Linked DNA regions of Arabidopsis thaliana. The protein of the gene in region 1 binds, or shares a complex with, the protein of each later gene. Each region holds a gene or a part of one and is shown in the gene's direction. Other genes may lie near its edges.

What was found.
Region 2: AT4G20980 (region 1) and TRIP-1 share a complex: the UniProt entries of both Arabidopsis thaliana proteins name them as parts of the eukaryotic translation initiation factor 3 (eIF-3) complex.

Annotation. Positions count from the first base shown.
Region 1 is NC_003075.7:11,214,868-11,218,618, forward strand, and holds the start of AT4G20980 (Eukaryotic translation initiation factor 3 subunit 7 (eIF-3)), read left to right. Parts: upstream 1-2,013; 5' UTR 2,014-2,129; coding exon 2,130-3,751. Other genes in the region: AT4G20970 (basic helix-loop-helix (bHLH) DNA-binding superfamily protein), read left to right, coding at 392-523, 623-988, 1,271-1,345. UniProt on the Arabidopsis thaliana protein: mRNA cap-binding component of the eukaryotic translation initiation factor 3 (eIF-3) complex, which is involved in protein synthesis of a specialized repertoire of mRNAs and, together with other initiation factors, stimulates binding of mRNA and methionyl-tRNAi to the 40S ribosome.
Region 2 is NC_003071.7:19,003,664-19,007,414, reverse strand, and holds the start of TRIP-1 (TGF-beta receptor interacting protein 1), read left to right. Parts: upstream 1-1,682; 5' UTR 1,683-1,907; exon of another isoform or gene 1,908-1,993; 5' UTR 1,994-2,021; coding exon 2,022-2,205; intron 2,206-2,353; coding exon 2,354-2,569; intron 2,570-2,664; coding exon 2,665-2,798; intron 2,799-2,895; coding exon 2,896-3,015; intron 3,016-3,125; coding exon 3,126-3,215; coding exon of another isoform or gene 3,216-3,236; exon of another isoform or gene 3,237-3,308; coding exon 3,309-3,395; intron 3,396-3,495; coding exon 3,496-3,575; intron 3,576-3,683; coding exon 3,684-3,751. Other genes in the region: AT2G46290 (Transducin/WD40 repeat-like superfamily protein), read left to right, coding at 121-336, 433-566, 667-786, 889-978, 1,074-1,160, 1,248-1,327, 1,430-1,505. UniProt on the Arabidopsis thaliana protein: Component of the eukaryotic translation initiation factor 3 (eIF-3) complex, which is involved in protein synthesis of a specialized repertoire of mRNAs and, together with other initiation factors, stimulates binding of mRNA and methionyl-tRNAi to the 40S ribosome.

The DNA of each region.
Region 1 (3,751 bases):
TAATATCATGTGAGAGTTAACGAGCTTCTTATTTGAGTCAATTGTAGATAAATAGCTTAACATATGCCCTTATAAACTAGCGTTGATTCTCAATCCAATTTGAAACTATTAACAGAACCATTAAAAACTATATATGAACACATAAAATATATAATTGACCATAACGACGAGTCAAGATATATATTTAAAGAACTTACTTTTTTCCACTTTGTTTTGCTTTTTTTTTTTTTAGTCTTTGGTACATATATATTACAAACCCTTTTCCAGTAAATAGTTAGCACAAACTAATTATCAGATGTCACTTAAACCAACCTCCTTCTTTATATAAGCTTGGTTAACATTGAGTTTGTTATCATGGTCTATGTGAAACAATTCAGGAATAAAAAAAGAAATGGAGCCGAGCCATTCAAACACAGGTCAATCAAGATCTGTAGATCGCAAAACGGTTGAGAAAAATAGAAGGATGCAAATGAAGTCTCTCTACTCAGAACTCATCTCTCTTCTTCCTCATCATTCTTCTACGGTTTCTTCCTCTTGGCCCTCTTATATGCTTATATAATCTAAGATTCCATGTATGGGTGATGATCTTAATATTCTAAACTCTTTTATTATTTCATGTTAGGAGCCTTTAACACTACCTGATCAGCTAGATGAAGCTGCAAACTACATCAAGAAGCTACAAGTGAACGTGGAGAAAAAGAGAGAAAGGAAAAGGAACCTCGTTGCGACTACAACTTTGGAGAAACTGAATTCCGTCGGATCTTCATCGGTTTCGTCGAGCGTCGATGTCTCCGTGCCAAGAAAGCTGCCAAAAATCGAGATTCAAGAAACTGGTTCCATTTTTCACATCTTTCTTGTGACAAGCTTGGAACACAAGTTTATGTTTTGTGAGATCATTCGTGTTCTCACCGAGGAATTAGGAGCTGAGATCACTCATGCTGGATACTCCATTGTTGATGATGCTGTCTTCCACACCCTTCACTGCAAGGTATAATTCGGAAAGTAAAACATTTTTTGCAATGGAATTTAAGAATCAAACTTTGCTACTACTACTATGTTAAAACTAGGTCTAATCCAGCTTGTATACACATTGGGAATGAGTTCAAAGTTAGGGAATGATATTTATACTTGTTGTTTTTATATTTAATAAAACTTGCACTCAAAAACGCTAAGAAGCTGCATGTTCCCATCTGATTGTTAAGTTTCTACTAGCTGATTCCTATTAATATCCATATGTTAGTAAACTAAATTTAATTTATATTTTATATAGGTGGAAGAACACGATTATGGAGCTAGGAGTCAAATTCCTGAAAGACTGGAGAAGATTGTGAACAGTGTTCACTAATATTGATTCCTTGTTCCTTTATTAAAAAAAAAAGTTCTATGTTTTTGTTCCTTTTCTTGAATTATTTTTGGTGTTAGCTAGATTCCTTTTCTTGAATTGTATCATGTGCTGTGAGAGTGATGTTTCATTTGTAAGCATAATATATACTTTTCTCTACTTAAAGCTGTGAAATATATTTTGTTTTTTGGTATCAACAAAGCTGTGAAATATATGAAACTTAGGATGATGATTTTCAAGAACGAAACCAAAAAAAAAAGTTTCTTAGAATTAATACATGAACGAGCGAAATAACTTCACCTTTTTTCAATGTGTTATACTTGCCCAAGCATTTGTAATCTAGTGATAGGAGAAACTTTGGTGATAGGTGAAACTCTCAGATCCGAGTTTGAATATCCCGTGGTATTAGTTAGAAAACATTTAAATTCGGGACAGATAGTGTTGTGGTCCTTCGGGAAAAGTTTACTTCGGAGCACTTTGGTGCGTTTCTATCGAAGCTGACCAGATCAGCAAATAGAGTTTATCAAAAAAAAATGTGTTATACTATTTCAAATTGATGAATTTGAATTCTAAATTTTTATTTTATTTTATTTTTTTCTCAAAGTCAGAAATGAAAAACATGATTTAAGACTTCAAGTGTTATATATGGGTTTTGAAGAATACTAAAGCCCATGAGCCCAAACATTAACAAAAATGTTTTTTTCTTGTACCTTCTCTCTTCAACGTAGACTAAAGAATTAGGGTTTCCGCTTTCCACACACACAGCTGCAACACTATCTTCTCAGAAATGGTAACCGAAGCTTTCGAATTCGTCGCCGTTCCTTTCAATTCCGATGGCTGGGGACCTCCAGACGCTTCCGACGTTTCCTCCTCCGCCTCTCCCACCAGCGTCGCCGCCGCTAATCTTCTCCCGAACGTTCCTTTCGCTTCCTTCTCCCGTTCCGATAAGCTCGGCCGTGTAGCTGATTGGACTCGCAATCTCTCTAATCCATCCGCTCGTCCTAACACCGGATCCAAATCAGATCCGTCTGCAGTTTTCGATTTCTCCGCTTTCGCAATCGACGAAGGCTTCGGTCTCGCTTCCTCCGGTGGTAATCCCGACGAAGACGCAGCTTTCCGTCTCGTCGACGGTAAACCTCCGCCGCGTCCTAAATTCGGACCTAAATGGCGTTTCAATCCTCACCACAATCGGAATCAGCTTCCTCAACGGCGAGATGAAGAAGTTGAAGCTAAGAAGCGTGATGCTGAGAAGGAACGAGCTCGTCGTGATCGTCTCTACAATAACAACCGTAACAACATCCATCACCAACGCCGTGAAGCTGCCGCTTTCAAATCATCCGTTGATATTCAGCCGGAGTGGAACATGCTTGAGCAGATCCCTTTCTCAACATTCTCGAAGCTCTCGTACACAGTTCAAGAACCAGAAGATCTTCTTCTCTGTGGTGGCCTTGAGTACTACAACCGCCTTTTCGATCGCATAACGCCGAAAAACGAACGCAGACTCGAGCGTTTCAAGAACAGGAACTTCTTCAAAGTCACTACTAGTGATGATCCTGTGATTAGGCGTTTAGCTAAGGAAGACAAAGCTACTGTTTTCGCTACTGATGCTATATTAGCTGCTCTTATGTGTGCTCCTAGATCTGTTTACTCTTGGGATATTGTTATTCAACGTGTTGGTAACAAACTGTTCTTTGACAAGAGAGATGGATCACAGCTTGATTTGTTGTCTGTGCATGAGACATCTCAAGAGCCATTGCCTGAGTCTAAAGATGATATCAATTCTGCTCATTCTCTAGGTGTGGAAGCTGCTTACATCAATCAGAACTTTTCGCAGCAGGTTTTGGTTAGAGATGGAAAGAAGGAAACTTTTGATGAAGCCAATCCATTTGCTAATGAAGGTGAAGAGATTGCTTCTGTTGCTTATAGGTATAGAAGGTGGAAGCTTGATGATAATATGCATCTTGTTGCGAGGTGTGAGTTACAGAGTGTTGCTGATCTCAACAACCAAAGGTCGTTTCTTACTTTGAATGCTCTTAACGAGTTTGATCCTAAGTACTCTGGTGTTGATTGGAGACAGAAGCTTGAAACTCAGAGAGGTGCGGTTTTAGCTACAGAATTGAAGAACAATGGAAATAAGTTGGCTAAATGGACTGCACAAGCTTTATTGGCTAATGCTGATATGATGAAGATTGGTTTTGTCTCTAGGGTTCATCCTCGTGATCATTTCAACCATGTTATATTATCTGTTTTGGGGTATAAGCCGAAGGATTTCGCTGGACAGATTAATCTCAACACTTCTAACATGTGGGGGATTGTGAAATCCATAGTTGATCTGTGTATGAAACTAAGCGAAGGGAAGTATGTTCTTGTGAAGGATCCATCGAAGCCTCAAGTGAGGATTTATGAGGT
Region 2 (3,751 bases), on another chromosome or scaffold:
CTCTCAAATTCAAATAGTATATAGTGGATGGAATGGATTCAGTTTAGGATTTAAGTCGTTGTCTTTGTTGTTTTAGTCTTTCATAGCTTAACGATTAGTGTTTTGTTTGTGATTTCTTAGGAGACTCGTCTAGATTGATCACTGGTAGTGCTGATCAGACTGCAAAGCTGTGGGATGTGAAATCTGGCAAAGAATTGTTCACTTTCAAGTTTGGTGCCCCTGCAAGGTCTGTGGATTTCTCTGTTGGTGATCATCTTGCAGTGATTACCACTGATCACTTCGTGGGAACTTCCTCTGCTATTCATGTCAAACGCATTGCAGAAGATCCCGAAGACCGTAAGTTGTCAATTCTAAGTTAAAATCTACTTATGTTTTTTAGCCTATGTCTTTTTTGTATGGGTAAAAGGAATTGATTTAATGTAATTGATGTAGAGGTTGGTGATTCTGTGCTTGTCCTTCAAAGTCCTGATGGAAAGAAGAAGATCAATAGAGCTGTTTGGGGTCCCCTGAACCAAACCATTGTTAGTGGTGGTGAAGATGCTGCTATCAGAATCTGGGATGCAGAGGTATTTCAACTTTCTTAAGGCCTTTCTTTTGTCTATCAATATCTCTCTTTTTTTTTTTATTAGCTTAAACCTTATGTGGTGCTACTGCCATTGTTACTAGACTGGAAAATTGCTTAAGCAATCAGATGAGGAAGTGGGTCACAAGGAGGCCATTACATCCCTCTGCAAAGCAGCTGATGACTCTCACTTCCTTACAGGTTCACATGACAAAACTGCAAAGGCATGTGCTTCTTTCTTTTACTTGTTTCAAAAATATGCTCTATACATATTACATATAGAGATAAATCATCTAATAGAGTGTTCTTTTTGTTGATTCTTTCAGCTTTGGGACATGAGAACGCTGACTCTTATTAAGACTTACACCACTGTGGTGCCTGTAAATGCTGTCGCCATGTCTCCACTTCTCAACCATGTATGCACTAATGCTTCTTGAAATTCAAATTCGGTTCCCAAAAGCAACAAGTCTTGATGTTATCTTTGTGAATGTTTCTGCTCTCGCTCTTTTAGGTTGTGCTTGGAGGTGGTCAAGATGCATCAGCTGTGACTACCACTGATCATCGTGCTGGGAAGTTTGAAGCTAAGTTTTACGACACGGTTAGTGTTGCAGTAAAACAGTTTTATTTAAAAACTTGTAACCTGGAAAGAGATATGTAACTGTGTATTTGGTCTTATAATATATAGATTCTGCAAGAGGAAATTGGTGGCGTGAAAGGTCATTTTGGACCTATTAATGCTTTGGCATTCAGTCCTGATGGGAAGAGGTAAACTAACAAAATTTGATTTTGATTGATTGATACAATCCTCAGTTGATGAGAGTGTTTTTTAGGCTTTGTTGCTGAGTGTTTTTTGGAATGTATTTTCAGTTTCTCTAGTGGAGGTGAAGACGGCTACGTGAGACTGCATCATTTTGACTCCAATTACTTCAACATCAAGATTTAGATTCTTTGAACATGTCTTTCCATTTTTTCATCATTCCACATAATATTTTCTCTCTTTTTAACATTTTCAGAATTGATGTACTACCAAATTACCAATATACTACTTTGATGATAAAGCTTGTTGTTTGTCTTTTCAAATAGACATATGCACCCACAAAAAAAAAACGTATGAAACTGCTTTTGAGAAAGGAAAAAAACAAAATAGGCGCAACGGGCGAGGTTCGAACTCATCAAATAGGGAAGAAGCTAAAAACGCTGAAGCCACTGAGCTTTGCTAAACTGTGGCATCTCGAGTAATTTAAAAAATTACAAAAGGGTAAAAGTGTCAAAAGAGAGGACAAAGTTGATTTCCTAGGGTTTTTGCACTTCTTCCTCGTCGTCTCTCTCGTCTTCAAGTGAACAGGTGAAGAAGAAAGCCGTTTTCCGTAATCGTTTCTTCAATTATTTTTCTTGTCTTTTGATTGATTCGATTTCGTATCTGTTTCAAAGATTCGCATCAAACCCTAAGAAACTGAAGATGAGGCCGATCCTGATGAAGGGACATGAACGTCCATTGACGTTTCTGAGGTACAACAGAGAAGGAGATCTGCTTTTCTCCTGCGCCAAGGACCACACACCCACCCTCTGGTTTGCCGATAACGGCGAGCGCCTTGGAACTTACCGTGGTCACAACGGTGCTGTTTGGTGCTGTGATGTCTCCCGTAAGTTTCTCAATTTCTCTTCAAATAGTATCGAGTCGATGATTAGATTCATTGTTTCCCCTTAGCTACAAGCTTGTTTAGGGTTTATAGTATCGAGTGAATTCTGTCGTCTTAGTCTTTCAAAGCTGAATGTTTAGTGATTTCTTAGGAGACTCGTCAAGATTGATCACTGGTAGTGCTGATCAGACTGCAAAGCTGTGGGATGTAAAATCTGGAAAAGAATTGTTCACTTTCAAGTTTAATGCCCCTACGAGGTCTGTGGATTTCGCTGTTGGAGATCGTCTTGCAGTGATTACCACTGATCACTTCGTGGACCGTACCGCTGCTATTCATGTGAAGCGTATTGCGGAAGATCCTGAGGAACGTAAGTTGTACATTCCTAGCTGAATTACTACTTACGTTTTAGCCAACTTCTTGTATGTGTTAAAAGGAAATTGTTTGTTTGATGCAATTGTGTAGAGGATGCTGAGTCTGTGCTTGTCCTTCATTGTCCTGATGGAAAGAAGAGGATCAATAGAGCTGTTTGGGGTCCCCTGAACCAAACTATTGTTAGTGGTGGTGAAGATAAAGTTATCAGAATCTGGGATGCCGAGGTATTTCAATTTTTCTTAAGGCCTTACTTGTGTATTAATTTCTCTCTTTTAAGGTTATGAACTAAACCTTATGTGGTGCTACTGCCATTGTTACTAGACGGGAAAATTGCTCAAGCAATCAGATGAGGAAGTGGGTCACAAGAAGGACATTACATCGCTCTGCAAAGCAGCTGATGACTCTCACTTCCTTACAGGTTCACTTGACAAAACTGCAAAGGCATGTGCTTCTTTCTTTTACTTGTACAGTATATCTTGTTTCAAATTTTTGCACTATACATATAGATATAAATCATCTAATAGAGTGTTCTCTTTTGTTGATTGTTTCAGCTTTGGGACATGAGAACGCTGACTCTTCTTAAGACTTACACCACTGTGGTGCCCGTAAATGCTGTCTCCCTGTCTCCACTTCTCAACCATGTATGCACTAATGCTTCATGAAATTCAATTTCGAATCCCAGAATCAGCAAGGCATGATGTTATCTTTGTGAATGTTTCTGCTCTCTCTTTTAGGTTGTACTTGGAGGTGGTCAAGATGCATCAGCTGTGACTACCACTGATCATCGTGCTGGAAAGTTTGAAGCTAAGTTTTACGACAAGGTTAGTGTTTATAATAAGAGTGTTTTACTTGGAAACATGTAACCTGGAAAATACACATATTTAAATAACCGTGTATCATTGTGTTTGGTATAATATATAGATTCTGCAAGAGGAAATTGGTGGTGTGAAAGGTCATTTTGGACCTATAAATGCTTTGGCATTCAATCCTGATGGGAAGAGGTAAATTAACAACATTTGGATTTTGATTGATTGACACAATCCTCACATGATGAGGTTTTGAGTGTGTGTTTTGGCTCTCTCACTGAGTTTGTGGAATGTATATTTCAGTTTCTCTAGTGGAGGTGAAGACGGTTACGTGAGGCTGCATCATTTTGACTCCGACTACTTCAACATCA